2 linked regions of the Arabidopsis thaliana genome follow. The protein of the gene in region 1 interacts with the protein of each later gene in a pairwise test. Each region holds a gene or a part of one and is shown in the gene's direction. Other genes may lie near its edges. The genes, in order: UBC28 and MUB5.

Evidence for each region.
Region 2: the proteins of UBC28 (region 1) and MUB5 interact in a two-hybrid assay, tested with the Arabidopsis thaliana proteins (one study listed by BioGRID).

What each region holds. Positions count from the first base shown.
Region 1 is NC_003070.9:23,830,894-23,847,643, forward strand, and holds UBC28 (ubiquitin-conjugating enzyme 28), read left to right. Parts: upstream 1-2,657; 5' UTR 2,658-2,778; intron 2,779-2,856; 5' UTR 2,857-2,898; coding exon 2,899-2,968; intron 2,969-3,583; coding exon 3,584-3,709; intron 3,710-3,798; coding exon 3,799-3,926; intron 3,927-3,992; coding exon 3,993-4,097; intron 4,098-4,183; coding exon 4,184-4,327; 3' UTR 4,328-4,643; downstream 4,644-16,750. Other genes in the region: AT1G64210 (Leucine-rich repeat protein kinase family protein), read left to right, coding at 140-1,316, 1,384-1,970; TOM7-2 (translocase of outer membrane 7 kDa subunit 2), read right to left, coding at 2,195-2,428; AT1G64235 (Bifunctional inhibitor/lipid-transfer protein/seed storage 2S albumin superfamily protein), read left to right, coding at 5,356-5,727; AT1G64253 (DEK carboxy-terminal domain protein), read left to right, coding at 11,326-12,313, 12,933-13,018, 13,109-13,139, 13,223-13,299; AT1G64255 (MuDR family transposase), read left to right, coding at 14,061-16,313. UniProt on the Arabidopsis thaliana protein: Accepts the ubiquitin from the E1 complex and catalyzes its covalent attachment to other proteins.
Region 2 is NC_003070.9:29,276,447-29,292,668, forward strand, and holds MUB5 (membrane-anchored ubiquitin-fold protein 5 precursor), read left to right. Parts: upstream 1-8,516; 5' UTR 8,517-8,730; coding exon 8,731-8,860; intron 8,861-8,938; coding exon 8,939-9,115; intron 9,116-9,212; coding exon 9,213-9,268; 3' UTR 9,269-9,636; coding exon of another isoform or gene 9,637-9,717; 3' UTR 9,718-9,894; downstream 9,895-16,222. Other genes in the region: AT1G77855 (BPS1-like protein), read right to left, coding at 798-1,382, 1,574-1,942; KOM (Rhomboid-related intramembrane serine protease family protein), read right to left, coding at 5,970-6,092, 6,218-6,344, 6,436-6,704, 6,791-6,954, 7,051-7,214, 7,702-8,012; AT1G77880 (Galactose oxidase/kelch repeat superfamily protein), read right to left, coding at 10,229-10,621; AT1G77885 (uncharacterized protein), read left to right, coding at 13,925-14,158; AT1G77890 (DNA-directed RNA polymerase II protein), read left to right, coding at 16,051-16,127, 16,215-16,222. UniProt on the Arabidopsis thaliana protein: May serve as docking site to facilitate the association of other proteins to the plasma membrane.

The sequences.
Region 1 (16,750 bases):
AAGACTTTTTTGCCGGCTAAAACCTGCCGGCGTATCTTTCTAATCACTCTTTTATCTATTTTTTTAATCAGAAACAAATTCTTCTGCTAAAGAAAATTTCTCTGTTTTACAGTTAGAGACAAAAACTAGTTTCTTCACAATGCAAATCTTCTTGTTCTTCTTCTCTTTGATTCTCTGTTTTGTTCTGATTTCCTCTCAGACTCTTGAAGACGACAAGAAAGCTTTGCTTCATTTCTTGTCTAGTTTCAATTCTTCTCGTCTCCATTGGAACCAGAGCTCAGACGTTTGTCATAGCTGGACCGGTGTTACCTGCAACGAAAACGGAGATCGAATTGTATCCGTTAGATTGCCTGCGGTTGGATTCAACGGTTTGATTCCTCCTTTCACCATCAGTCGTCTCTCTTCTCTCAAGTTTCTAAGCCTTAGAAAGAACCATTTCACCGGAGACTTCCCTTCTGATTTCACAAATCTCAAGAGCTTGACTCATCTCTACCTACAACATAACCACCTCTCAGGTCCACTACTAGCTATCTTCTCGGAGTTGAAGAATCTTAAGGTTCTTGATCTGTCTAACAATGGATTCAACGGAAGCATCCCAACCTCTCTTTCAGGATTGACTAGCCTTCAAGTCTTGAATCTTGCAAACAATTCATTCTCAGGGGAAATTCCAAATCTTCATCTTCCAAAACTGAGTCAGATCAACTTGTCCAACAACAAGCTCATCGGTACAATACCAAAGTCTCTTCAAAGATTCCAAAGTTCAGCTTTTTCTGGCAACAACCTTACCGAGAGGAAGAAACAACGCAAGACTCCTTTCGGGTTAAGCCAACTTGCTTTCTTGCTGATTCTGTCTGCAGCTTGCGTTTTGTGTGTTTCCGGATTATCATTCATAATGATCACTTGTTTCGGGAAGACTAGAATCTCCGGGAAGTTGCGAAAGAGAGACTCGTCTTCTCCTCCAGGAAACTGGACATCTAGAGATGATAACACTGAAGAAGGCGGGAAGATCATCTTCTTTGGTGGAAGAAACCACTTATTTGATTTAGATGATTTGCTAAGCTCATCTGCAGAAGTTTTGGGGAAGGGTGCTTTTGGTACAACCTATAAGGTAACAATGGAGGACATGAGCACGGTCGTTGTAAAACGATTGAAGGAAGTTGTCGTTGGAAGACGAGAGTTTGAGCAACAAATGGAGATCATTGGTATGATCAGACATGAAAATGTAGCTGAGCTAAAGGCTTACTACTACTCCAAAGACGATAAGCTCGCGGTTTATAGCTATTACAATCATGGAAGCCTCTTCGAAATACTGCACGGTTAGTTATTTTCATTGCTCTCATTCTGATGATAAATCGAAACTACAAGGTTCCATTTTCTTTGCAGGAAACAGAGGAAGGTATCATCGAGTACCGTTAGATTGGGATGCTAGACTGCGAATAGCAACCGGTGCAGCGAGAGGGCTAGCTAAAATCCACGAAGGGAAGTTCATACATGGAAACATCAAATCCTCAAACATCTTCTTAGACTCACAATGCTATGGCTGCATAGGCGATGTTGGCTTGACGACAATCATGAGATCACTTCCTCAAACCACTTGCCTTACTTCTGGCTACCATGCACCTGAAATAACAGACACAAGAAGAAGCACACAGTTTTCGGATGTATACAGCTTCGGTGTGGTATTACTGGAGCTCTTGACAGGGAAATCACCAGTGAGTCAAGCAGAATTAGTACCAACAGGAGGTGAGAACATGGACTTAGCTAGCTGGATAAGATCTGTGGTGGCTAAAGAGTGGACTGGAGAAGTGTTTGATATGGAGATATTGAGTCAATCAGGTGGTTTCGAGGAGGAGATGGTTGAGATGTTGCAAATAGGATTGGCTTGTGTTGCTCTGAAGCAACAAGAAAGACCTCATATAGCTCAAGTTTTGAAATTGATTGAAGATATTCGATCAGTTGATGCAGAGTGAGACAACACAAACTAGTAGTAGTAACCATTAAAGCAAATTCTTTGTTTCTTCATAGATCATTTGATTTTATTGAATTTGAATCATGCAAAAAAGAATGAGACTTTGAATTATAGAATCAGAAACAAATATAAATCCATTTCATAAAACGAAGAAAACAGAACAAATTTGGGAAAAAAAGTAAAAGCATCTAAGAAGAACATTACGAAGAAGATCCAATTTGTGGATTAAACGGGAGAGAGGAGGTGAAAAAGATGAGGTTTAGGATCTGAGTTCATGCCGATGATGATGATCAGAGGGATGAAACCATAGTGAGTCGCGACTTTGGCTTTCTGTAATGACCAGTTGGTCCAATCCTTGAAGACCTTGTACTTTGATGATGCAGAGGAGGACGAAGATGATGATGATCCCTTTGATGGTTTTGCTTTGCCTTTGATCTTCAACGTACTTTTAGCCGCCATTGATTCTGATCTCAGAACTCTCTCTCTCTCTCTCTGCTTATCTCTGTGTCAGAGTCGATTTAGCTGGAAGACAAAAACCCTAAAGGGTTTAAGCACCTTTTTAAAGCCTCTATGAAACACTCTGTCTAACTCAGAGGGTCCTTTATTTTTTATTAAAAGTATGTTTATCCAATAATGATTCTCTGGCTCGCTGGAAAATAGCTGTCATTATTTATATTTGAAGCATACATAAATAAAATTTCTCTCTCTTTGTTTATTCGTTAGGTCTCAAAGGCTCTCTCTGTCTCTTTCTCAAAAATCATCTGCAGGAAGTGAATCGTCAAAACCGAGTTTGGAGGATCTGTCTTGAGGTAAAAAAGCTCAATCCTTTATCGGAAATTTTCAACCTTTGCTTTTCCTTTGTTTGTTGCGTTGCTGAATCTATCTAGGGTTTGGTTTTTTGGATCTAGGAGTTTTTTTTTGGTTGAGAAATGGCTTCGAAAAGGATCTTGAAAGAGCTCAAGGATCTCCAGAAGGATCCTCCAACTTCCTGCAGTGCTGGTTAGTCTTTACCTCTCCTCTCGTAAATCGTGTCTGATCTATTTTTGAGCTTTGTTGTTAGATCTTATAATCTTATCTTTAAGCAAACAAAAAAATGAAATCTTTTTTAGTCTTCGTAATTTTATAACGAAGTTATCTAGAGATCTTGAGGTGGTAATTGCCGCTAAGTTATGATCTTAGTTTAGAAGATACCAATTGAAAGTTGAGATTTTTCTTAGAACAGAACAAATTTATGGCTGTACTGATCCTTGATTGAAAATTACAGCTTTCTAATAATCATAGTCTAGAAGATAGCTGTTAAAAATTGGGATCCATTTACCCATCCTGGATACTATTGATCATAATTAATAAGATAACAGTTGGAAGTTGAGATTTTTCTTAGAACAAAGTTGAGATTGGTCGTTGCAGTTATCTTATGATCATAGTCTAGGAAATAGCTATTGAAAGTTGTGAATTTTCTTAGAATTAAGCTTTTGGTGTTGTATGCTGCCTTGTTTATCCAAGTATCCATAACGGATCTTACAGACTTGATACCTCGCACTGATAGTCTTTCTTAGTTATCTATTGCATTCAGGTTTATACATGTTTGTTTTGTTTATTAAAATATATGATAAGTGGATAATGCGTCGAAATTGTTGGTCTTAATAGAGTTAGAGGATTGTTGTCGGAGATTCTCAAACTGTTCATGCATTCTTCTGCTAGAGAAGTCTCAGGACATTGCTATGGCACATGTTTTGTTGTGTGTATTTCAGTAAATGCCATAGATCATCATGTTTAAAAGACTAATCTTTCTATTTTTTCCTTCTATGAACAATTGTGAAATCTTCAAGGCCCAGTTGCTGAAGACATGTTTCATTGGCAAGCTACAATAATGGGTCCATCTGATAGTCCTTATTCAGGCGGTGTCTTTCTCGTAACCATTCACTTCCCTCCGGATTATCCTTTCAAACCACCAAAGGTAAATTATTCATTGTTACCAAACTGAAATCATGAACTGGAATTCAAAATGCTCTTTTTCTTGCAGGTTGCATTCAGGACAAAAGTGTTCCACCCTAATGTCAACAGCAATGGAAGCATTTGCCTTGACATTTTGAAAGAACAATGGAGTCCTGCACTCACCATATCGAAGGTGAAAAAGCACTCTTTAACCAATAGCAGTGGATGATATATAATGAATCTCCTCTTATTTTAATCAAATCTCTTGTGAATTTATAGGTTTTGCTTTCGATATGTTCATTGTTAACGGACCCAAACCCAGATGATCCATTGGTTCCAGAGATTGCTCACATGTACAAAACCGATAGAGCAAAGTATGAGTCTACTGCGAGAAGCTGGACTCAGAAATATGCAATGGGATGAAAGTTTGTGTCCTTTGATCCCTCACAGACTCGGTTTTAATAGAGAGAGAGAGAGAAAGAGAGAGGACTTCTTCACATAGGGATCTTCCATGAAATAAGTTAGATTCCTATGTTTTATCATCTCTTTGTTTGAAACCTCTTTAATCTCAAACAAAAACATTACTTCACCTCTTTATTATCCATATGTTCCCTATCTTTGTTTCTATGCTTTTTCCAAAAAATTATAAGAAAAATTATTTATGTAAAGCTGGAAACTTTGAGCTTTTACCTAACAAAGTATGACGATGATTAAATGGGAACATTTGACATTTGCTACCAAATTTTCAAAATTCCGTGTTTGAGAAAATATTGAAATAAAACCATTTTTGCAGAAAAATAAAATAAAAATTGCATGATTTTGAAGATGTTGATTAACATATTAATTCGAAATTTACCCTTGTATGAAATGCAAAGTGATAAATTTACCCTACAGAAAATTTTCTCCACCTTTATCATTTCCCTTGCTTGTAAGGGATCAATGATTCCATATGTGCATTAATTTAAAAATACCTCAAATCAAAGAATAAAGGTACACTTTATCTACCATTGAATTAAGTTACCTCATTATGAAATGGAAAGCGAAATCAAAAGGCATATTATTACGAAACAATAAACTGTAGATTTATTGGTTAGCTAGATCATCCAACTTTTCATTCAATCTGAATTTTCATTTAATTTATGATGATTTGAATGTAAAATCTGTAAATCATGGTGTATTATTATTAACCAATGAAATATTCTAAATACTGAAAATAATTCATGTAGTGATTTAGCCAATCATTTAGGCTATATTTAGTTATTTACATAGCAACTAATTACGTTCATGTTGATTAACAAGGAAAAACGCGTTCATTACGCAATACCATGCAATTGGAATCCTTCATTATCCAAGAAATACCTAAACAAATTCTCATGTTTTGCACAGAAAACAAAAGGAATCCAAAATATTTGCTATAGGTATATCTAAAAGAAACAACTATATATACATGCATGAAGACCGTCGGATTGTTGCTTATTACATTCGTCATTCTCTTGGCATCATTACCGCTTCCAACAAAAGCTATCGGTGCAGGCGGAAGTAGATCCAAGAGGGACAGAGAATCATGTGAAGAAAGTAGGATTCAGACTTGCTTGGACGTTGTTAATAGTGGATTAAAGATATCGACCGAATGTTGTAAATTTTTGAAAGAGCAACAACCATGTCTTTGTGATGTAACTAAAACCAGTAAGATCAAGACCAATGTCCTCAGCTCTCGTCTCAAGTCTTGTGGTATTCATAACCTAAAATGTGGAAATAACAACAATGCGATGCGAACAAGCAACCCCCCAGTACTTCGAGACACCACACCAAAGATACGTTGAGTCTTTGACTCTTTTTTTATATTAACCCTATTATAGATAGTTTACAATTTAGGGAAATTTTCTCCACCTTTCCCATATTCCTTGCTTGTAAGAATCAATGATTTCATATTAAATCATGAACTCTTATAGATACAAAAGTTTGGATTGTCCATGCTAACATTCATAAACGTAATAATATGATAAAAATGTGGGATAAAAAGAACAATGTTTTTACTTTTTACCAAAAAAAAAAAAAAAGAACAATGTTGACTCTCTTAATTTTCATCCCCAGAGTGACTTGTCTCGTTGATAACCGTTGGATCTCCCGTTAGATCATCTCTCTCGTAGTCAAAAGTCAGGCAATTTTATTAGTGGGCTTTCTATTTTCGACCCAACACTTTGATGTTTCCGAACTCTTTATTTCTTATTCTGCAAAGCTGTGCGAGAGTGAGAGTGTAGTTGTCTTCCTCAGTCGTGACGACATCGCCGGGAAATTCCTTAATGCAACTCAAATTACTTCCATTTCTGAAAATCCAAACTTCCTAATACTCCTTTACCTTCTCAGGTATGTAAACATCTATAACTTAGACGACTATACTGTTGTGTTTTGTTTTCTAGGGTTTTTTAAAACAATTTTTTGCTGGATTTATCAGCTCCGGTGCCTTGTTGTTGTTGTTTTAGAGATCAAAATTGATTTTTCATCTTTCGGGGTTCTTTATAATTTTTAGGGTTTGCATGTTAGGGTTTTATCCCCTGAATTTTTTATTTTGCTTTGTATTTAGTTTTTTGTTTGTTTGTAGAATTTGATGTACCATTCCATACATTTTAGGGACTTAGGCCTTTCATGTTGTTGTTTTAGTGATAGGAGGTGGCTGCTGTTTCTTCTTGGGTTGTGCATAACAAGGATTTAGCAATAAAGTTTACATTTTTACTTTGGATTCCTTGCAGGTTTGGTGTGCTCATGGCTGAAATGGAGGTTCCGGTGTTGTGTTACTGGAACGGTCGCATTGAGTATGGTAGCAATGGGGTATATGACAGATCAACTCCTAGAATGATCAAAGTTAAGAGAAAGACTGAGTTAAGCATATTGTTGGATCAGCTGTATCTTCTTACTGGATTAGATGTAAATGATCGGAGATCAAAGGTTAGAATTTTCGGTAGGTTTCCTTCAGCTGTTCAACCGCAATCAATGCTTCATTTTCTACTTTTGCCTGTGGTGAACGACTCTAGTTTGGAGACAATGCTTGAAGTCCCAAGCAAACATCCTTCTATTAAAAATGTAGAACTGTATTTGGAAGTGAAATCTGATGGGGTTGTTGTGTCTGCTGCTCGTTCGCCGTTGTTGGCAAATCCCGGTAGTTCCTTGAAAAGACAGAGGATGGATATACCTGTTAAGTTAGAGAAGGGCAACAGTAACGGGTGGATTGAAGATGAAGAAGATGTCGACATTGGAAACGGTAGAGATGGTGACATGACAGATAAAAATCCAAGTTCAGATGCAGTGGCGCAAGTGGTTAATTTGACACAGGATAACAATATCTCCCTCAAGGATTTGAATCAAGATTCCAGTTCTGGTGTTTCCAAACCGTGTCTTTCTAGTTTGTGGCTTGATGATCATGACTTGCGGGTAGGATTGTGCTTCAAAGATATTGATGGGCTGAAGAAGGCAGTGGACTGGTGTTCCTTTAGAGGGCAGCGAAGTTGCGTAATGCGAGAGGCTGAGAAGGATGAGTATATGTTTGAGTGCGCCAGATGGAAATGCAAGTGGACGCTTGAGGCCGCTAGAATGGAAAAGCACGGACTTATCGAGATAATTAAGTATACTTGTCCACATACTTGTAGTTGTGCCATTGAGCCACAAGATTCCTATATGGAGTTTGAAGCAGATGAGTTTGAACGTGTGATCAGAATACATCCCACACAATCATTTACAGAGCTGAAGAAGTGGTATATAGAAAAAATTGGCTATGAGCTTCAAACTTCGGACGTGCGTATCGCGAAGAATGAAGCTATCAAAAGAGTCTTTGGAGATTGCGATCAGAGTTTTGAAGATTTGCCCAAGTTAATGGCTGCCATTCATTCATCTAATGGACTCCTCGTGGACTGGAAGTATGATCTTTTTCCTAATCCTAAATTTGCATCCTTCCGTGGTGTGTTTTGGGCATTTTCACAGTCTATCGAAGGGTTCCATCACTGTAGACCTCTAATCATAGTGGACACCAAAAATTTGAACTGTAAGTACCAATGGAAGTTGATGATCGCCTCTGCGGTTGATGCAGCAGACAATTTTTTTCTGCTTGCCTTTGCGTTTACTACAGAACTTTCTACTGATAGTTGGCGTTGGTTTCTCTCTGGAATCAGAGAGAGGGTAACACAAAGGAAGGGCCTTTGCCTCATTTCCAGTCCCGACCCCGACTTACTTGCTGTTATTAACGAATCCGGATCTCAGTGGCAAGAACCCTGGGCTTATAACAGATTCTGTCTGCGTCATCTGCTCTCTCAATTCAGTGGCATTTTTCGAGACTACTATCTGGAGGATCTTGTGAAGCGGGCTGGATCCACGAGTCAGAAGGAAGAATTTGATTCCTACATGAAGGACATTGAAAAGAAGAACTCAGAAGCTCGGAAATGGTTAGACCAATTCCCTCAAAATCAGTGGGCTCTGGCTCATGACAATGGGCGGAGATATGGAATCATGGAGATAGAGACAACAACTCTGTTTGAAGATTTTAATGTCTCTCATTTGGATAATCATGTATTGACAGGTTATGTGCTGCGTCTGTTTGATGAGCTGAGACACTCGTTTGATGAGTTTTTTTGTTTTAGCCGTGGTTCTCGTAAATGCGGCAATGTGTACACTGAACCAGTCACGGAAAAGCTTGCAGAGTCAAGGAAAGATTCAGTTACTTATGATGTAATGCCGTTAGACAATAATGCGTTTCAGGTCACCGCGCCTCAAGAAAATGATGAATGGACTGTTCAGCTGAGCGACTGCAGCTGCACGTGTGGGGAGTTTCAAAGTTGCAAGTTCCCATGTCTACACGCTCTAGCTGTCTGCAAGTTGCTGAAAATCAATCCTTTGGAGTATGTAGACGACTGTTACACTCTTGAACGGTTATACAAAACTTACACTGCCACATTTTCTCCTGTTCCGGAGTTATCAGCTTGGCCGGAAGCTTCTGGAGTTCCGAGATTGTTTCCCCCGGTCATTCCTCTGCCACCGCCACCGCCCCCAACCAATGTAGCAGGTAAGTCCAAAGCCAAAACAACTCCTCGCAGTAATAAGAAGAAGACCTGAAAGCAAGGCCGGCATTTTGGTGGATTATGTTAACTGATTAGTGGTTATGTTAGTTATGTAGTATCTTTTGACATTTAGGAAGAACGGAGACATGATATGTTACTGCTTTTGTATGTGAAAATTAATCGGGCAATTTGGTGGGTTATGTCAACTAATTAGTGATTATGTATTATGTACTAGTCCTGATTATATATTGTAGTGCTGCAACTTTGAGTGATCCCCTGAAGCGATATGAAAACCAAGCTAAACGGGATCGGAAACTTAAACCCACTGTCTTCTTCTTCTTCTTCTTTACGATCTCTTTCCGTCTAATCCTCATATCTTGTCAGCTAATATTCAACAAAGTTTGTATCTGCGAGGAGGCTTAATGTGGATAAAATCAACCTCTAAAAACGTATAATAAATCGTACTTACCAGTTTTCTAATTTTCATGTATCTCTATTGATTTTTATTTCATTTTTAAGAAAAGAAGAAGTATCAAATCATTGGGACATGAAAATTTAGGCGGGAATAGGATTTAAATATTTGCTTGTTATTTTGCCCAAACATTAATGGGCTTTTTTATTTCGGCCCAATTGTACATTATTTCTGTACTTTTTCTTCTTTTCATTTTTAGAACTGTAGTAAATTTCGAAATGCAATATTTGTGAGTTTCCCTTGTCATATGATGTTCTTGCAGCTGTCTTCACATCACCGGAGAAATTCTTGAGAGGACAGTGAAATTACTTCCATTTCTGAAAAATCCGAGCTTGATATCGACACCCAGCTGGTAAATCTCCCTTCTTTTTCAGGTACTTGGAACTTTACTAGTCTTAGTTTGAGTATCACTGTTCAGGGTTTATGTTTCCTAAATGGGTTTATCTGCTTCTGTCCCTAAAAATCTTTAGCCTTTGTTTTTAGATATGGAGTTTTCTAGTGTTTTGTATGTTATGAGTTCAGGCCCAAAAAGTTTACATTTTTCTTTGATTTTACTTCAGGACTGTTGTGCTCATGGCGATGGAAACCTTGAGAGAACATGTTATGTTGCTGTGTTATACGAATGCTTGTATTAAGTATGGTTCTGATGGCGTATACTATGAAGGATCTAGTCCTAAAAAGATCAGAGTTAAGCGCAATACTGAGTTTAACACACTGTTGAATGGGCTTTATCCAATTTTTGGATTAGCTAAGCAAAGATCAAAGATTTCAATCTTTGGTAGGTACCCTGCAGTTCTTTCACCGGATCTGTTTACGTATTTACATTTTCCGGTGGTAAACGACTCTAGTTTGGAGACTATGCTTGAGGTTCCAAGCAATTATCCTTCTATTAAACTTGTGGAGTTGTATTTGGAAGTGAAATCGACATCTGAAGGAGTTATTGATCCTGCTGCTTGTTCATCGCCATTAGAAAATCTTGGTAGTTCCTTGAAAAGACAGAGGACCCAAGAAGCAACTGGTTATGTGACACATTCATCTGTTAAATTAGAGAGGGTTAATGGTTTAAAGGTTCAGGGAGTGGATAACAGTAACGGGTGGATTGAAGACGAGGCAGATGCTGCATTGGGAAATGGTAGCACTCATGGATATGTAGATAGAGAAATGACAAATAAAAACTCGGGTTCGGATGGGGTGGAACAGGTTGTTACTTTGACAGCGAATAACGCCGAGTCAAGTACTTCAAATCATGGCCTCTGTCCAGTTTGTGGGTTGATGATCATGAATTGCGTGTAGGGTTGTGTTTTAAAGACAGGGATGAGCTGAAGAAGACGGTGGACTGGTGCTCTATTAGAGGGCGGCAAAAGTGTGTAGTAAGAGAGACCGAGAAGGACAAGTATACGTTTGAATGCATCAGATGGAAATGCAAGTGGTCGCTTCAGGCAGCTAGAATTGAAGAGCACGGACTTGTTGAGATAACCAAGTGTAATACTCCACATACTTGTTGTCCTATAGGGCCAGATAATTATGACGTGGAATTCGCAGCAGATGAGATTGAATGTCTGATCAGGGTACAGCCCACACTAACAATTGAAGAGTTGAGAAATTGGTGGTTTGAAAATTTTGGCGACATGCTTGCAACTTCAGAGATGCAAGCAGCAAAACAAGAAGTGATCAAAAAAGTCTTTGGAGATTGGGATCAGAGTTTTAGAGTATTACCCAATCTAATGGCTGCGTTTCACTCATCTAATGGGCTAGTTGTGGACTGGCAATACAAGCTTTTTCCAAATCCTGAATTTGCTTCCTTTCGTAGTGTGTTTTGGGCGTTTCCACAGTCCATTGAAGGGTTTCAACACTGTAGACCTCTGATCGTAGTGGACACCAAAGACTTGAAGGGTAAGTACCCTATGAAATTGATGATTGCCTCAGGAGTCGAAGCTGACGATTGCTATTTCCCACTTGCATTTGCGTTTACCACAGAAGTATCCTCAGATACCTGGCGTTGGTTTCTCAGTGGAATCAGGGAGAAGGTAACACAAAGGAAAGACATTTGCCTCATCTCCAGACCCCACCCTGATATACTTGATGTTATTAACGAACCAGGATCTCAGTGGCAAGAACCCTGGGCTTATCACATGTTCTGTCTGGATGATATATGCACCCAATTTCACTATGTTTTTCAAGACGACTACCTGAAGAACCTTGTGTATGAGGCTGGATCCACAAGTGAGAAGGAAGAATTTGATTCCTATATGAATGAGATCGAAAAGAAGAACTCAGAAGCGCGGAAATGGTTAGACCAATTTCCTCAATATCAGTGGGCTCAAGCTCATGACAGTGGTCGGAGATACAGAGTTATGACGATCGATGCAGAAAATTTGTTTGCATTTTGTGAAAGCTTTCAGTCTCTTGGTTTGCCAGTGACAGCTACAGCACTGCTTCTGTTTGATGAGATGAGATTTTTTTTTTACTCGGGTCTTTGTGATAGCAGTGGTAGGGTCAACCGCGGAGATATGTACACCAAACCCGTCATGGACCAGCTCGAAAAGTTAATGACAGATTCCATCCCTCACGTTGTAATGCCATTAGAGAAAGGTCTGTTTCAAGTCACAGAACCATTACAGGAGGATGAATGGATCGTTCAGCTGAGTGAATGGTCCTGTACGTGTGGGGAGTTTCAGTTGAAGAAGTTTCCATGTCTGCACGTTCTAGCAGTCTGCGAGAAGCTGAAAATCAACCCTTTGCAGTATGTAGACGACTGTTACTCTCTTGACCGATTATACAAAACTTATGCTGCCACTTTTTCTCCTGTCCCGGAAGTAGCAGCTTGGCCAGAAGCTTCTGGAGTTCCGACACTGTTTCCACCGGTCATTCTGCCGCCACCTAACGTATCAGGTAAGTCCCAATGGAAAACTACTCCTCGCACTAGTAAGACGAAAATCTGAACCTGTTAGATGGATTTGGTACGAAACTGAGTCAATTCTTAAGAGGTTTTTGTATGGATTGTGCTAACTGATTGGTGATTATGTAGTATCTTTTGACTTTCGGCAAGTATGATTAAACCGGTTCGGGTTATATATCGTAGTGTCGTGACAAAAACATGTGTTGCTGCTTTTGTTTGTGAAAATCAACGTGAATTTGCATTTTGTTTTGCCCTGAACTAACAGTCGATTAATCCTGAATTTGCTTTGACTTGGTTAATAGTCTTAATAAACCAAGAATCATGACTGAAAACTGAACTAATATCGGTATACACATTACTAGTTGCATTACATTATGTTTCTACTTTCAATATTAACTTAAGTATTTACTATGGCATGGATACAATTCAATACGAAAGATAGCTTTAGTCAAGACTAGGATTCAGAACAATCTGAGTACTTATTAAACGATGGTTCCTTAGATTCATAAACATGAAGAATTACAGTATAGTGTCATCATCAATTTTGATATATCTTTCTTTATCTTTTTATGTTTCTGACGCCATGTGTTTATCTGTCTTTGTTTGATCTAGTAAATGACAAAGCCAAGGTGCCTCCTAGTGATGAAGAGTTGAGAAATGCAATTGTTGATATCTTGAAAGTTGTGGACTTGAAAACGGTTAGGATTCAAACCTCAAAAAATTTATGTGCGTTTAGAAGATAAATTGATCTATAAGTCTCTAATAATAGCTTTGTTATTTCCTGACAGACCGCGATTGCTGACGTCCTCAAGCGACTTGGTATGAGTTAAGATCAGATCGTTTTATTTCTTCACCGACGATGTCGTCTTTGTAACTTGCTTTGTTTTAAACTGGTTTTACAGCTGAGAAGTTCGAAATCGACCTCACCCCAAGAAAGTCATCTATAAAGACGATGATCCAAAATGAGCTCAGTTCATAAGAAGACAAGACCGAGGATGAGGAGTGGAGTAAGTTAGTAAGTGATATGGGAAATAATAAGGGAGCAGAGACACGTGGAGGGCTGTGATTAAAAGATGAAGTAACGGCCAAGATGGAAACGAGTGGATTGCCTGCGTTTAAAAGAAGCTGGATCAGGAACATTTTATCATAATCGTGAAAGTTGTTGAAGTTTGTTGTTCTTCTCTTTGAGGTTTCTGGGTTTCGAATATTATGATTCATCCTCTGTGAAGAACAATGTTCTTGCAAGGTGAATCTAGAGTCTCCCCTGTTTTATGAACATTGGAGCTCATTGTTATCCTTGAATATTAATCGGAAGTGTTATTTTGGTTGATTGATCGATTGTTTGTGATTGAAGAAACAGATCCTAGTTTTTCTGTATCAGTAAGTAAGAAGAAACTTAGGATTTAACATGAAGCATCTCCTTAGGATTTATTCATGCCCACTTTAAGAAGACCTGAAAGTTAGAGAACTAGACTTAGGAAACAAACAGGTTCAGGTTTATTTGTATGTGAAAATTCAGTCTGGTTAAAACCAAGCTAAACGGGTTACCCATTACTGATGAACGGGTTTATTATTGATGAACATATAGTTGGGCCTTGTTATTTTGGCCCAACTGTTTTTTATTTTTTTGTCGTTTTGTCTTCCTCATACCGCCGGAGAAACCCTAACGTCAGAGAAAAGGGTTTGCATCCCCAAAGTTTACATTTTTACTTTTGAACTCCGTGCAGGTTTGTTGTGCTCATGTCTGAAGTAAATGTTCCGGTGTTCTGTTGCTGGAACGGTTGCATCAAGGATGGCACTAATGGCATATACTATGAAGGGTCCAATTATAGAATGACCACTGTGAAGGGAAAGACTAAGTTTAACGAATTGCTGGATCATCTGTATCAAGTTACTGGGTTAGATAGGAAGAGATCAAAGTTTGGTATAATCGGTAGATATCCTACAGATATTCAAGCGTTTAGGGTTAAGTATAAACCTCTTCCCGTGGTGGACGACACTAGTTTGGAGACTATGCTTGAGATTACAACCAAACATCCTTATATTAAAGACATTGACCTGTATTTGGAAGTGGAATCGACATCCGTTGGAGTTATTGATCCTGCTACTTGTTCATCGCCTTCAGACATTCTTGGTGGTTCTTCGAAAAGACAGAAGACCGATATACATGTTAAGTTAGAGAGGGAGACGGATAGAAACTCAGAATCAGATGGCGTGGTACACTTGGTTGATAGCAGCACTTTGAATAAAGATTCCATTTCTGGTCATGTTTCAAAACCGTGTATGTCTAGTTTGTGGCTTGACGATCATGACTTGCGAGTAGGATTGTGCTTTAAAGATGGCGATGAGCTGAAGAAGGCAGTGGACTGGTGTTCCCTTAAAGCTCAGCAAAAGTGTGTAGTACGAGAGACTGCAAAGGACGAGTATATCTTTGAGTGCATCAGATGGAAATGCAAGTGGTCACTTGGAGCCGCTAGAATGAAAAAGCACGGACTTGTCGAGATAATCAAGTATACTGGTCCACATACTTGTCATCCCATTGTTCCAGAAGATTTCAAATCAGAGTTTGAAACAGATGAGATTGAACGTGCGGTCAGGTATATGCCCACACAAACAATTTCAGAGTTGAAGAAGTGGTGGAAAAAAAAAATTGGCTATGAGCTTGAAACTTCTGATGTGCGGTTAGCGAAAGAGAAAGCTATCAAAAGAGTTTTTGGAGATTGGGATCAAAGTTTTGAAGATTTTCCCAAGTTAATGTCTGCCCTTTGTTCATCTAATGGACTCCTTGTGGACTGGAAGTATGATCTTTTTCCTAATCCTAATTTTGCATCCTTCTGTGGTGTGTTTTGGGCGTTCCCACAGTCTATAGAAGGGTTTCAACACTGTAGACCTCTGATCGTAGTGGATACCAAAAACTTGAACTGTGAGTACCAATTGAAATTGATGATTGCCTCAGGAGTTGATGCAGCCAACAAATATTTTCCACTTGCCTTTGCGGTTACTAAAGAAGTTTCTACTGATATTTGGCGTTGGTTTCTCACTGGAATCAGAGAGAAGGTTACACAAAGGAAAGGCCTTTGCCTCATTTCCAGTCCCCACCCCGACATAATTGCTGTTGTCAACGAATCTGGGTCTCAGTGGCAAGAACCTTGGGCTTATCACAGGTTCAGTCTGAATCATTTTTACTCCCAATTCTCTCGTGTTTTTCCAAGCTTCTGCCTGGGGGCTCGCATTAGGCGGGCTGGGTCCACGAGTCAGAAGGATGAGTTTGTTTCCTACATGAATGACATCAAAGAGAAGAACCCAGAAGCTCGGAAATGGTTAGACCAATTCCCTCAAAATCGGTGGGCTCTGGCTCATGACAATGGTCGGAGATATGGAATCATGGAGATAAATACAAAAGCTTTGTTTGCAGTTTGTAACGCATTTGAGCAGGCTGGTCATGTAGTGACAGGTTCCGTGCTTCTTCTATTTGATGAACTGAGATCCAAGTTTGACAAGTCTTTTAGTTGTAGCCGAAGTTCTCTTAACTGCGGCGATGTGTACACCGAGCCTGTCATGGACAAGCTTGAAGAATTCAGGACAACTTTCGTTACTTACAGTTACATTGTAACGCCCTTAGACAATAACGCCTTTCAGGTTGCAACAGCGTTAGATAAGGGTGAATGTATTGTTCAGCTGAGCGACTGCAGCTGCACATGCGGGGATTTTCAGCGTTACAAATTCCCATGTCTACACGCTCTAGCCGTCTGCAAGAAGTTGAAATTCAACCCTTTACAGTATGTAGACGACTGTTACACTCTTGAACGGTTAAAAAGAACTTACGCCACCATTTTCTCTCATGTTCCGGAAATGTCAGCTTGGCCGGAAGCTTCTGGAGTTCCGAGATTGCTTCCTCCTGTCATTCCACCGTCACCACCTCCATCACCTCCAACTTACGTATCAGGTACCAAATGCAGAACTACTCCTCTCGCTACTAAGAAGAAGAGCTGAAAGATGGATTTGAGTTTGCACCGAGCCGGGCATCTTATGACTTTAGGGAAGTAGGATTAATCTGGTTTCAGTTGTAAAACAAGCTACAAATATTCACGGGCTTTCTTCCGTCGGCCCAATTGATTTTTTTATATTTTTTTCTGTTATAAAATTTCGAAAAGCTATATTTCTCATTTCCCTGTAGACTGTAGTAGTTGTCTTCATCAGTGACCTGACCTGTAACAGTAACATCACCGGCGAAATCGTTAGCGAAGGTGAAATTACTTCCATTTCTGAAAGATCTAAGCTTTTTTCTGCGACACCCATTTCCAAATTCCCTGTTTTTCTTCTTTTCAGTTGCGTAAAACTTTACAAGTCTTAGTTTTGAGTATCACTGTTTAGGGTTTATGTTTTTGAATGAGTTTATCTGCTTCTATAGCTAGAAAGCTTTCTCCTTT
Region 2 (16,222 bases), 5.5 Mb from region 1:
GCCTGACTCAAGTTTTCTAGTAAAAAACACTTTCCACATAGCATTTTTTTTTTTTTTTTTTTATTATTATCATACTTTTGGTTTCCTGTTAATTGATATTTGATGATGCTGTCCTCTCTCTATCTCCCGACTCCCATATCCTTATAATTTGATGTGGATTGGACAAAACAAATGAATGAAAACGCATCAAACAGAGCAAATAATACTAAATAAACAAGATAAATATTGGAGAGAAAGAAAAAAACAAGAAAATTGCTAATAATATTTTGAGAAATAAAATCAAACAAAAAAAAAAACTCATCATAAAAAAAGTAGAGCACGAGATGCTTTCTCACTCTCTCTGTGGATCACTCTGTCTTGCATCTAAGTCAAATCAAGTCCAATCCTCAGGTTTTTAATCATTTGCTTCTTTTTTTTTGTCTTGACCAAATTCATTTTATTACCTCCCCTGCAACTCTTTTCCGTATAGAAAAGACAACTGTCACAAGCTACTCTCTTTCGCAGTCAATTTTTATTCAAAAAGCAACCCACAACGGCCAAAAAAGTGTAATAGAAGATTCAAATGGAATACTTTTACTTAGAAACCTTTTTAACTTTCACATTTTAACTTCTACAAACAGTACTAGTCCATATTTACTCTCTGTTCTGAATTTAAACAACAACAACAACAATAGTAATAAAACATATATTTTGATTAGATATATTTTAAAACTTCAAATAAAACCAGAGGAGATTCCCATTAATTAACAATCTGATTCATCTCTAATTAAAACCTAATAACACTCATTTTTAATTCATCACCTGTGGCTACAATAATCCAAAAGCATTTTCCTACCATCAACAATATCATCAAAGAAATCATCAATCTGAGCAACAATACTCTCTGTTCCATTCCTCAAACTCCCAACACTTCCTTTCAAATTCTCAATTCTCTCTCTCAACCCCTTCTCCACCGCCTCCTCCTCTCCTCCGCCGCCGCAACACCGCCGTTCCAGCTCCACCTTAAGCTCCTCCATCGCCGTCTTGCTTCTCCTATACTCGTACATCATCATTCCTTTCCTCACCCCTATCCTCTCCATTTCCGCCGCCACTCTCTGCTTTAACCTCATCATCGTCCCCGTCGGAACCGTCGTGTCTCCGGGAATGTAATAAACAAGACCTTGCATCAAGATCACGAGAAGTAACGAGTTTATGTTCTTCATAGTGTTCATCACTCCTCTGAAACCGCTGAAACCGTTCTGTATCTTGGAAGACTCCATCCCCGTCGTAGTAACTTGCTCCGACCAAAAAGGAAACCTTTGAATACGATTCTCCATTAATGCTCTGTTTTCTTCTTCTATCCCCACCGCTTCTCTCCTACATCCAGATATCGCTCGTATCACCTGTCCCATATCAAAAATATTCCAACTTTTCAAGAACATAACAAAAAAAAAAAAACATTTCATTAATTCAACTTTGATTTTTTATTAACAAACCAAAATAATGTTGAATATATATTATTATTTTTTGTTACTAGGACTTACAAATAATTTGTGACAGTCCAAAAAAATAACATTGTTTTTCGTGTATATACCTGCCGGGAAATCTGAGGGGAGAGGAGACGACGGTGGTGGTAGTGGCCGTCGAGGGTGGAGGTGATGGAGATAGCGGAGGAGCAAAAGCTTTCGATGGTGGAGATAGCGGATTTGATGACGTGGCAGACGTCCCAAAGCTTGGAAGTTTCGTCCATGTAGTCGTCAAGCCACTTGTCACCGACAGGGAGGTTAAGTTTCTGGACAAGAAGTGTGAGATGAGAGTGAGAGGTTCTTAGAAGACAGATGACTCTCTGTAGGAACTGTAAGGACATGAAGTTGTTGGAGATATAAACCCTTTCGAGATCTTCCATTGATCTGTTTAGAAACGAGTAGAATCCGTTTACTGAGTTTGAACAAGACTGATCCATTATTGACCCTTAAAAAATATTTGGTGTTTGTTGGTTTGTTTGGTTGATTATTGGTGAGATTATAGGGAGAGAGATTTGGGAAGGAGAGAATTAAAAGGTTATATAGAGATTTGGATGTGTATGTATAGATGAAAAGGAGAGTGAGAGAGAAAGAGAATAATAAGAAGAAGAGAAGAAGCAGAGATTATGTAAGGATGAAAGTGATTGTTTGGAGCAATGATGGTTGTTTCCTATAGAGGAGGAAAATGATCATTGGTATATGCTAATACCAATATCTCAATTTTTCATATCTTTTTAACTTAATTTTATTATGGAAAGAAATTGTTATTCAGAAAAAAAGAGTTGAGAATTGGAAAAGTACTGGTTTTTCATGGAATCCATATAAATTTGTCATCTATTTTCTGGTACATCGGAGACATAAATGAAATTAGAATATTAACTCTTTTTTTGTCTAGAAGTTACTCATATCATATCTTTCTTTTTTTCTGCTTGGGATTTATTAGATAGATTCTTTGTCCGAATAAAATCTCTAGTAGTTGATGATTAGTAGAGCGAATAATGATCATGCTTTCAATACATAAATAATCGAATATTACTAGTAATTTAGTATACGACTTTAGCATTTTTAGATTTTGTACAAAGGCATCTAATACCATTTCATGATTTAGGAGTTATAACTCGCTGCAGAAAACAAAGAAATTGAATAACAATTATCATTTAGTTCAGAACTTCTGAACCTTGTGTGTGTGTGTTTTAGTATAGCTTTGTGTAAAAATAGTTTGAAGCACAAACAAAAGTTGAATGTATAAATTTGTACATAGGTATAAGTTACAAATATTCTGTAACCATAATTACCTAATTTAGTCTAACAAATGAAACCATCAAGCAAACTTGATTGTGTGATGATTTGTATTAATAGTTCATATACTAATGGCTCAATGAATCGAGATAGATAAGATAATGTTGTATAAACATTTAGATTCGTTCATATTATAATACTGTAACTAAAGTATACAAGGAATGAAAAATCAATCAAGTTCATACCTCCAAAGTGGTATTTCGGACCCATTCGACGGCGGATACCAAGAAAAGAAGTAGTACTATTTTAAAAAAACTTTTTTTTTTTGGTCAAAGACATTATATATATAACATATAAATGACGCAGTGGAATATTTAACAAAACTAAAATTAGTTAATGCAAAAGGAAAATAAGTTGCTTTATTCCCGTTATCAAGCCGGCGCGTATTCTATACTCAACTCATTTATAAATTTTTTAAATTTCGAAACCTTTTTTTTTTTCCATTAACCACCAATAATTATCACTAATATACAAATTTGGTTCTTCGGTTAGGATGATCAAGAATAAATACGTCATATCGGGAAAAACAACCACGGGGCCAAATCCTTAAATAGTTTTGGACAAAATCAAAAACAATTTTAAATATATAATATATATATATATATATATATATAATGTTCCCTTAGTAGACAAGGAAAAAACTGTTTCTATTCGAATCAATAAAACAAGAATCCAAAATTATTTGGTCAACAATTAGTGACTCCATATTAATTACGCATGTGTTTCTTTGTGGATGTGTGTGTATATTTAGTGTGTGAAAAATTGAGTGGTGAAGTGTGTGGGAGAGAGGGGGCCATCAAATCTAATGGAAGCGTCGGGCGACTCAATAATTTTTGTTTCGCCATTAATTACCTTTGTTTATTTTGTTCTTAGACATCTTTTTGGGTCACAATTTTATTAGTATTATTTCTTTGTCAACAAATCAAACAGACAAAAGTATTATGAATTGATAGCAGAGAACTAAAAACCCAATAAATCAGAATAATATTCTTAAAAAACTCGGCAAGTCTAGAATATTGTATTATTGGTAGGAATATTTATATTAAAAATGTAAATCACAAAAAATCTACATGTTTTGGTCAAATGTAAAGTAATAATATGTATATTAATTACAATGTACGTATAAAATAGCTATCAATCCAGCAAAAGAGAAGAGTGCTAGTAGATTTGTGAGAATGTTTCGTTTTCTCAGTAATGGCTTGAGATAAGGAAACAACTGTTTTTGGTCCATACCCTCTCTTCTCTTTCCGTCTGCCGTTTTGAAATTGATCTTCCTATTTTCATATTACATTATTAGTCTCTTCACTTCATTTTCCCATTGAATTCCAGTTGAAATTTGAGAATGTTTATATATATATATATATATATATATATCTTTTAGTCTTTCATATATATATATTTATAGTAGTAAGTGTTCAAGACTTTGAACTCTAAGATAAGTCATTTTGAAAAGAGAATAATATGTACGACTGTAGTTTTCTTTATAGAGTCGTCTACGACTTTGTTAAAACTCGATTGGGAAAACAAGATTATAACAGCGGTTAAAAGTTTTGTAACTTTTATTGTAGTATACCCGATTTACCTAAACCAAAAGCTATGTGATCAACACTAGTAATCAAGTTTATAAGGTCAAAAGAACCTTTAAAGGGTGAAAAGAAAAGTTGATAAGTTAATAACTGATAAGCACTCCACTAATCATCTAATCGGACGGTGGAGATACATGGAAGAGTTGATTATTTAGAGGGTCAAGAACCGCTACTTAAGATACGTTTGATTGATTTCAATATTTTTTTAAAATAGAAAAGTAAAAGTGTTGAGCCGAAATTAGGATGCAAAGGTATATGCCATATCAACGTTAAATGGTAGAGATTTGTGGTTGTAATATTCCACTTATCATTGATGCACATGAAAATTGTAATTTGTTTTTTAATTACTTGTTGATGTGGTCCAAATTCTCGATCTTAATCATATAGTATGAACTAAAAGAAAGAACGATTGGAGAAAGTTGTACTGTTTATACATTGAACACAACAAGTGTTTTTATATACATATTGGACATACATAACTTAAAATTTTTTGTTTCAACAATGCAAGAATTTTGATCAACTGACTTTGTATGTAAATGCTAAAAAAATCTGAAGAAGATGGAGTTCCAAACTTGTGTTGGTTTGTGGGTAATTTCCAAAATACTACAACACTTTATATAAAGCTGCCAAACCAAATTTTCCCCAACCACCATCCGCTCTAATTCTGGCTTCACATCCCTATTAACCGGATAAAGTTATAAAGTCAACTGATTACAAAACAGAGTAGGTCTTCGCTTTTATACACCAGAGAGAGACCACTTAACTGAATTTAAAACGAGTTCTGGAAAAAATCTAGACTAATTCTTAGTAATTGTAATTGTTATGCGAAATTACATATTAAAGATGGCTAACTGAAGAAAAAACTGACATAAATTGAGTGACTTAAATATGTTGTAGCAACATAAAAGGAATATTAGTATAGAACAAACAACAAAAACATTTGAGTAAAATGCATATTTAGTGACATTAAGAGTAATGAAACCAGTAGAGATGTCGTAGGCAGTTGAGTAGCTTAATGAGGTTTAGGTCCACAGTATGGGCTTCTTCTGATATATTTTAATATAGTTTATGAGCACATTTCTCAATTCTATTTATTCAAAATTCCCTTAGAAAATAGTAGTAATTAATTTTAGTGACCCTATCTATATATATCTCTGTGTCAAGGCCGGCCCTTTTCTTCTCATTCTACTACACCCACAAGCCACACCTATTTATCATCATCACTCCTCCTAAAGCAAATAAATGAAAGAACAAAAAATGAAGAAGCTCAATATTATACTTACTTGTTGGTGTGTCATGTGTGCGTAGATATGATGTGGATTGTGTAAGAAACTAATGTGGCTACTGGGTCCTCTCATATGGGACCAAACTTCGTAGACTTTAGTATTTACATTCATAGAACCAAAACATTAGTCTCATTACAAAACATTTACCACTTATCCGTTAAGGCTATAGGCTACAAACAAAAGTTACCAGAATTGACCAAAGAATCTTACGAGATTTGTGATTTTGGTATATGCAATTATTCAAGTGTGGGAGTGAGTATATTAGATCTATGAAGGAGTTGAAGCCTTGGTCATCTTTAAGAGCATACGAGTGTGCAGAGGTCTTCTGTCCTGGCTTGTGAGATATTGGTGAAAGGAAATATCCTGAACTTTCCATTTGCCATGCACGTTAGTGTTAGCTGAGCATCACTCACCATTGCCTGTCGTATTCACATATAGTTTTTTACAATGTTGTAATCACTAATCAGACTCAGAATTTGCATATATATAGACTCAGATTCTAGTTTCAGGGTCACAACAAAGGTTATGGTTTAGATGAATATACCTCGCAGGAAGTAGTCATGTCGCTGCAGCTCCATTTTTTGGTTGGAACACAGTCAACATAGCGACACCAATGGCAATGACGGTTGAGATTGACTCCCCAGCATGCTGCTAATAGAACCCCGGCAAGTCTAAACAGAGATGGAAAGCTTTTTCATGTCACAAGAGCGTAGATAAAACAAAAAAAACTAGACCAAAAAGAGATTTGAGGTAAATTCTCACATTCCACAAAACACGAGCAGGCATATAATCCTTAATACCGGTCTGTCAAACTGTTCTTTAAGCCTTGTGGATCTGTTCATATCATCTTCAAACAATTTCCCCTTATGAGATGGAGGCATCTGTCTCAGTTGTGGTTTGAACAATAGCACAAATCCAAGGAGGAATCCTGATATGAAACCACCAATATTTGCAAAGTTGTCTATGAAAGGGAGAAAGCCTATCAGGAAATTCACAGTGAAGATAGTGAATATTATCGCCAAGGCTGAAATCTGTACCAAGCAAAAGAAAATACAATCAGAAAAGCTATGAGAAGAAGATAACAAGAGACAAAACAGAACCACAAGAAATCCTTGACCTTGCTGTTATATAGATTCCAGTTCTTTGCAAGTGCAGAAAGCATGGCTCCAATCAACCCAAAGAAAGCAGCACCAGAAGAGATTGATGGGATGTTCCGAACAAACAACACAGCAAACAGACTACCCATAATGCCAGAGAGGAAGTATATGACTGCAATCCTCACTACAAAACCAAAGCAAAAGCAGAAGAAAGGTGGATTAGAAAGGTGATAGATTCCATCCAAAACAGACTAATCAAAAGTCAAGTAGTCTAAATTACATGGTCCAAACTGTTGCTCCATGTATATCCCTACGAAAATCAAACTCCCAAGATTTATGAATAGATGAAATAATCCACTGTGCAGCCATGGAGATGTCAAAATACGCCAAATCTCATGATTCTCCGTCAGAGCTTTCCAAGAAAGACCTCCCATATGCTCTAACCTGCAAACTCACAAGAAAATAAGTAGTCCATAGCTTATAATCAGTCATTTGATAGCTCAAGTTACCCCTATTTCCCTTAATTTTCTGAAACATAGAGCTCTCACAAGAACCACCACTTGAATTAGATTGCTTCATCAACAGAATGTAGCACCAAGAGCCACACAAATAAACACACACACACACTAGAACAACACAGAATTGTAAACAAGAACTTGTCGGTTGTCACTGTAATCAGAGATTGAGACACTATGAATCAGCTGAAACTCATCAATCTTGGAAACTAGTATCATCCAAATCCAACAAACTTCAGCAACCTATCGTTACCGATCCAAAAGATGAGCAGAATGAAACATCCAAAATTACAGGTCTAAGCAACGAAGCATCCAAAATCCATCTCTAAAGGATCTAACAATTCAATTAGAGATCGATTCCAAAATCAGTTACAAGCAGAGACCAAAAGCGAAATCCGCCGGAGAGAGCTACTTACGTTGAGGCGGAGGGACCAAGCATAGGATTCTCGGAGAGAGACTGGAAAGAGAATCGGCCAAGGAGTTTAGCGGAGCAGTGACCGTGAGAGTTCCCGGAGCAATCGTTGACGCCCATAGTTACAGCGAAGAGGACGATCTGAAGAAGAACGAAGACGGAGACAAGCCAAGTGTCTCGTTTGATTTGCCGTGAACGGTGACGGAAGAATGAGATCTTGTCCCAGCTAGAATCGCCGGCGTTAGAAGTGGTAAACGAGAGATTGTGAGAGATTTCATCGATCTGCGTCGTCTTTGACTCTGTAGGAACCTCCATTGTTGAAGGTGAGCGAGAAATTAGGGGATGATGACGAATGGGTTGTTTTATACTTTGTAGAAATTGGCGGGAAAATGTTATTGGAGAGCAAACCGAACGCTAACCGTTTCACGATCCGGTTCGGAATTGATTTAGAGCGCGTGTACCGCTTACTATACACGTCATTATCATTTGTATTAAACTCAAATCAAAATTTTAAAAGATATAGCTGGATTAATTTTTTCAACGCATTTGATTCTGTATTTTATTTTTATTAAAAAAAGATTCAGTGAACATATAAAAAGATTAGTATCATTAAGCCATTATTAATTACTATTTTCAAGCAAAGAATGTATCGTGTTTGTGGAATGTACGCAAGGAATGATTCATGTATTCGTGACGGTTGGTTTTGGTTGGCGTCTAATATGACAAGTGATCATAAAAGCTTATGTTAATATATCATCATATAATCCAAATCATTTATAGTTAGTACTTAGTATGCTAAATATACGTTGCAAATTTATCGTATATAGTCAACCAAAAAGGTAAATTCAGATTTGTATAAATGTAAATGGAGAGATGACTGTATCTTGAGATTTCTGGTAGTTATTATATAAGTTGAGAAAGAGAGTAAGAGACCCAATTATTGTTATTTTCTAAATTTGGCTCTGCTCAAAGACAACGGAACTCTCTGCTTTTCTTCTTTCTAGAGATCTTTTCTTGAGGTAATAATTTAAAGATGGGAGATGAAGATTTAATAGAATTGAAGTTCAGACTCGCAGATGGTACCGACATTGGTCCAAGCAAATATAGTCAATTCATGACTGTTGCATCTCTCAAGGAGAAAATCATTGCTCAATGGCCTAAAGGTAAATCATTTTCTATGTTTCTTCTCAAAAGTTTTGCTATTTGTTTAAAGGTGAAGTTGAAAATCTTGTTGTGGACAGACAAAGAAAACGCACCAAAGATGATAAATGAGGTTAAGCTCATCAATGGTGGGAAGATACTTGAGAACAACAAAACACTTTCTGAAGCAAGGTCCTTAATAACTATTGGTGAACTTCCTGGAATTGTAACTACAATGCATGTTGTTCTTCGTCCTCCTCTCTTTGAGAAGAAAAAAGGTAATTTCTATACATTTTCTCTTCAATTCTTGAGTGTTTTTGTGTGTATTTTGTATATCTCAAAGCTTTGTTTTTATGTTTTCTTTTGTTTCTTCAGAGAAACTGCAGAATGATCCTCCAAGGAAGAGTCACTGTGTATGCTGCATTTTGTAGCTCCACTTAGAGATTTTTGATCCTTTATACAATTTATTCCATTGGAAAAAACTTTCCATATCTTAAAGTCTTCAACATGGATCTTCATTACCAGAATGATTTTGGTTTTTCTTCCTTCCTTTTCTTCTTCATTGTTTATCAAAAATGGCTTAAGAAAAATTACTGTGTTGTTGAAGATTGAGGTATTATGTAAAAATTTGTTCATATGAGTGAAAAGCAAATATGAGTTGCTTGAAAGGACCTGTTATAACACAAGAAGATAACTAGTTATATATAACTTTAGAGCACTACAATATTTACTTAGAGATGTATATCCATCCACATAGTAACAAATGCTCCAACTTTTATCTGTTGTGATCACTACATCTTCACACAAGCTTGAGCATTTCCTCAATTAGATTGTTTATGGCTCTATACTTCATCATCACAATGTTTGCTTCAAGAAAGAGCTGCAAGAGTTTCAGAAACTGAGTGATGATAAAATAATTACTGTGTTTTTCTTTAAGCATATTTATCTGGAAGCTTGGTCTGACTATACAGATCTACTAAATCAGCACATGCATTGTGGAAGGTTGTAGGGTAAGTTTTGATTAGAAAGGGACACCATTTTATGGCCTTAAGATGGAGAGTAGGTCCACTATCAGTTAATGGGTGAGGAAAATGATGGTATGACATGACAATATGATATAACATGAGTTGCTTTCAATCAACCTATATAGTACACTAAGATTATTATGGATGACTATATAGTACACTAAGTTTATTATGGATGACTAGTTCTGAAAATGACCCCTTTTTTGCTTTTGTCCTTCAAGTGCCTAATTCTCTGTTTTTTCCAGCCTAGTTAAACTAGTAACCACAAGTCAGTAAATCAACATGATGTAATCAAGAATTGGCTATGGCAAGTTCTCGAAACGATTGTATGCATTATGCAATCATATTCAAACCATAAATCCTACATCATATAGAAAACAAAATGATATATATGATCATGAGGAAGCAATGACTCAAACAGTGGTAACAAGATAGTGCTCGAGACAAATTGAATAGGGGCAACGTATGCACAACATGACACCACTCAACTTTCCCATAAACCTCATGGTCGTTGCGCCTCTCAGTCATAAAGAAATAGAGACAACTCTCGGAGGTACCTAAAAGCCGTCGGGTCTCGTAGAGCTCTGTGGAAGCGAGAAGAGAGCGGAATCTCTTGGAGACTAACGAGAGAGTTGGGTAGTACAATCTAGAGATGCGTGCTAAGCAATTCAAGAGTAGATCGTCTGGGAGATATGGTATACTAACCTTTTCAGCTTCAGATGTGCTACTCAACACAATCTTCTTCTTCTTCTTCCTCATCTTCACCGACGACTTGATCCTCTGGCAGTCACCGACCAACACAGTTCTTCTTCTCCGACAAATGCTTTTTTCTATTTCGCTAATCTCAACAATTTGGGTCAGTAAAATGCTATTGGGCTGGGCCTGTATTCTTTTCTTTTATTTAATTTAAATCGTAAGCCTTTTTACGAAAAAAAAAACAATTGGAGAAGAACGAGATTTCGGGGATTCTGATGGTTCTCAATGGGCCTTTTAACTGATTCAAGCCCACTCTCTTTTTTTTTTTTGGTGATTTCAAGCCCACTCTCTTAATTCACTTCCAAAGAGTTTTATTAAATTTAATATGTTACTAAAATTTTTTATATCATTTAAAAATTAATAGTTAATTCATTTGTAAAGGTAAAATTGAAATTTGTTTTTTGTTATGAAATTATGAGTACAAAAATAACTGTATTTTATTTCTTAGCTATTAAATCGCACACTTTAATTACTATATATATTTTTCTTTCAACCAAAAAGTAATTGGATATTAAACATCATAAAAAATAAACTATTTTTTTCCGGATTTTTTAGTTTTTTTTTTCTCTTTTTAAATATATAGAGAATATTAAATAGATTGTGAAATATGTTATATGGTACGAACGATGGGATAAGGATTCTCTTCTTTTGATCCTAAAGTTTGGTTTTCTTTTCTTTTTTCTCGTAGTTGCCTCTGCATCACGACGCCTTACGTGTTTAAACACCCACATTATATAACTTTAAAGAAATGGTCTACAATTATATAATCACTCTCTTTGTATACTAATCTAGTATAGTTAACGAATACTTGCATTAAAACTGGCTGTAGCTCATTCGAAAGTGGATTTTGGAACCTAATAAATGATGACATAACTAAAACGAATTAGATGACTATATATATTAACTCTATAAACACTGAGGATTAGTACTATTCAACTCAAGATCTTATATAAATAAAGTAGATTAGCACTATGATTAGAAGTGACCCCATGTTAGATATTTTTGTACTTTTAATTCAATCATAAACATGTACTATGCTTGTTAGAATTTAAATGTTGATGCAATAACGACAATAATACAAAGTAGTATTAAACTACCTTTTTGTCTATCAATGTTATGATTTGCGAAAATATTATAAATGCAAGTTGTTTAGTGTGTTGTTGCCTGATTCACTTGGACGATTATTTTTGACTTAAAAATGATTCTCTACTAATAGAATAAAACGTTGTAATTGTTATATATAGATCTTGGCGCAGCCAGGCAGCCTCCTCGAGTCCTCGTGTTATTCTACACTTAACTTTTATAGGCCAATATTATTCCCTCACCCTTTAATTTTATGTTTATATATACATTGAAGGAAGCTGGAGAGTACCTTCTATACTAATATAAACTAAGTTGTAATTTGCATAGTTTAAAGCGTTAATAACATACATTTTTCAACCGTCCATTGATCTTCAATCGATTTTCAAAGATGCCAAATTAATTCAAAAGCGTTAATAATATTTGTGTTACAAATTAAAAATGTTGTTTCTTATATTGATGTTTCCTTTTACTGTACTACGTTTTTTCCTACATCTACAGAAATATTTGCTTTATGTTGTTCTTATCGATAACAACTTACTTCGTTCCACATGATTTTTCACAAAAATCTCATCGTATTTTCGATGTGGAATTTGTAACACCAACAAAAGTATGTGGAAGTGTTTTGTGTTTTATTTTCAGCGTCAAAATGATTATGAATTGTCATTGACACACGTGGTGAATACAAACCGAAATGTCGAATACTGTTGTATGTTGCTCTTTTGCCGAAAGACAAAAATGGAGTTAGTATCGGATCTTTGACATTTTCAAAAAAAAAATGAATAACGAATATATCGAACAATATCTAATATAACCGCTCAAATAATTAGATTATGCAAGAACAAAATTGTCTGCATTATCCAGAAATGGAACCACATAATAAGAAACGTGACTAAAAACACAAACAAATCTCAGACAAAAAAAAAAAAAAAGAGAGTGAGAAATGCTATTTATATTAGATGAGTGTGAAGTCCACTACCAGCAATCGGAAATATGATAGATATAAAATAGAATAAAGATTTGGCATATATTTTAGGTATACACTTAAATTAAAACTATATGTTCTTGGCTTCTTAATTTGGACACGTTTATGGATATTGTGGTCGATTCGATTATCATTTGGAAGCTAAATTGGCGGCCGAGTCAGATTCCTCTCAGGCCTTCTCCAATACATTCTTGGATTATCACTCGAATCTTGATCACTTTTTGTTTATTAATTGTTTTGAAACTTTCTAATAGCCATCATACTTTACTACGATCAAATAATTTTTAGTTAATTACCGTTATGAATCCATATCGTTTGTTAAATTATAAAAATTATTTTGTACTTTATTTTATATTACTGAACCAAAATCTAAAATCAAGTGTGTATGCGCTTTCAAAATCTCTAAGACAAAGTGTAGTTGTTTTTAAAGAAACTATTTTTACGTCGATTGCTGATTGTTGTGCCCCTTTTCACAATTTTGATTATCCCTTCGAGATTAGTTTGCATCTTTTTAGTAGATAATTTTGGATTGATCTGTAGACAAAAGGAAATATTGATCGGTCATCGGTCCATTAAGAAAATAAAAGTTTTTAGAGAAGTCATAACAGCTACAGCATGCGAGCATAAGATACAGTAAAAAAAGACTAAAGTATAATCAAAATTTCATCATTAACTTTTCTGTCGTTTAGTATGTGAATATTTTGTTTTCACTTTTTAATAATTTGATGGATACTGAGAATTTCAGTTTCAAATTAGTAAACGATAAAGTAGATGATAATTAAATTCATGTCATAGCCATGAACGAATGTTATGTTAAAAAAATTTCATGTAAGTAAATTCTTTGGAGTTCGATTCTTCTTTTGTCCTTACACAATCAAAGATTTTTCTTTCAACTTTTTTTACTTAACAGCATTAACTCTTTCTCAGATCTTCAATTGTTTTCCTAAACGAAATTATCATTAAATTGTTTAAAAAATACACATTTAATATAACATATATCATAACAAGATATATTATATTTATGAAAAAGAGATGTAGTACTACAGCATATGGTGGCAAACAAACCCACTAAATTCAGTAAAATGGAACCCACCAAATTTATCTATAAATAAGTCCCCAAACCTCTCCCCCAAAAATGCAACAACACTCATCTTTCCCAATATAAGTTTTTACCAAACAACAACTTTTGTTTTGCCTTTCCTCAAAACATAATTTTGTCTTATTTTCTAAACCGGTAAAAGATGTCGCTAGCTATCGCAGAAGTTTACACGGTGAGGAAGTTTCACAGAGAGAGTATGAAGAAACCGGCCAAACAGACGGTTACCGGCGAGGGAGATGAAAAGATTGGCGGAGGAAGTTTCAAGGAGGCGCCGGTGAAGTCAGGTGGGTGTAGAAGATTCGGACGGTGGTTTTTTGGGAAGCCGGGAATGAAGAAAAGCTCTGCTAAAGTTTCGGATCCCATGGCGATTGAGTGATGAAGAAGAAATTAAAACTTTTCTCTTCTTTGCCTTTTTTTTTTTTCTTTCTTTATTTTGTTTTATTTTCATTGGTCTTTTTTTAATGGCTTTTTCTAGTGTCTTCTCTTTTTCTTTATTGGGTGATTTTATAAATAGTCGGTAAACATTGTACAATATGAACTACAAAAATATGAGAAAATCTATATATGTATGTAGAATGGATGTATTCCCTAAATACCACAGCTAGTTTGATAAGTTTTATGCCAAACCAACTAAACTTGTATGCCACGATATTTCGTATTTCAGAAAATCGAAAATTGTTATTTTTTAGTGTTTTTTAAACCATATATATATATATATATATATATACAAAAATACAAACATATGAAAATAAACATATCTAGATTTAGTTTTTAGTTGGTTAACCATTTGGCACTTTTGACATAGTTTTAGTTTAATAATCTATCACTAACTGTACTAATCTTCTTCTTCTTTTTTTAACTGCAACTCACATAAAAGAATATCTAGATTTAAACCATGATATTGCATAAACCATTAAATTCGGTTGTAGCAATATTTATCCAAATATGAATTCGGCGCTATACAAATATAAAAACAAACTATTTTGGCGCTCTTATTATATGTCACGACAAATCACACACATTAAATATATACAAAGACACAAAAACAAGATAAAATATATAGGAAAATACTTTTAAAAGAAAAAGTAGTGGGGTTTTAAGAATATAAAGAAAATTAGTGGATGTTCAAAATATTGAGTAGTGAAAAATAAACCAAAACAAAAATAATCTATGAGGGTGATTAGGAGAAGGTTCTGCTCGTGACGGTTTGTTTTTTCAGCCAATCAAAAAGCTTTTAAGTGGATCTCACTAGATTTCATAGCATACGCTAACGACCTAACGTTAAAGTCAGGCAAAATCTATGTTTAAAATTTGCGTCGTTCAAAAACCATTCCACAAAAAATACAAGCTAAACTGGCGGCAGAGTCTCAGTTCAATGAATCCATTACGAGCTTTGTTTGAAGAAATATTTAACCCACTGACTCATTAATAAAGCAACCAAAACAAAATCCTTTAACTATAAAATAATTAAACGAAAGTAAAGAACACACGAAAACAACAATAAAAGAAGAAAAAGCAAAAGTAAACGACAACAAAATTACCTTAAATATATATTCTCTCGTAACAAGTTGGCATATCTAATCTAGTTATATTGAGATAGTGTCATGCATCATGATATTAGATGTTTTATCTTATAACATTGCTTTTATTTTTACCGATTTAACAAAATCGTATATTGTATGCAGGTAGTCAAAATTGATACAGACTTGTTTTATATCAGCCAAACATATCAATTCAGTCAAGTGAGTTAACAATGTATGTCAACAAGGGGGAATTGAGCAATTTAAAGAGTTAAAAGACCATTAACTAAACAGACAAAGAGTTTAGGAGCAAAAAGTAATAAAGTAATAATAAAAGGTCAAAAAGTGTAAGAAAAAAAGAAAAGAAGAGGAAGGTTCTGTGCACGTAACTTGAATTCGTAAAAGTCCATTGCTCCTTCTTCCTTAAGCTCTTTGCTAAATCTTCACGCAATGACTCTCTCCTTCAAATTCAATCCTCCTTCTTCTCTTCTATTCTCTTCCCGCTTCATCCTCCTCCTACGTCATCCGGACGCTACGTTTCCCCGGCGCCGGCGGATTCTACCGGTCAGTTCTCTCCGATCAAACTCTTATGCTCATTGTCTCCTGGAATTTCAACAATCTTTTGATTAGAACTTTTAGATTGGTGTTCTGATGGGAGAATATTGTTGAATTGACAGATTCATTGCGTTAGATTTGTCACTGAGCCCTAAGAATTTGGGGAATTTTGGTCTGCTTCGGCGAAGGATCGATGGAGAAATCTACCAAATGTGCTGTTTGCTACAAGTCGTTTCGTCCCTCAATCTGTGTAGATTGTGTTAATCGCGGGTATAATCAGGTTCTCATACAATCTGATATGATCTTGGAATCTTTCAAATTCTTACGAGTTCGGATTTGATGGCACTTTGTGTGCAGGTTAAACG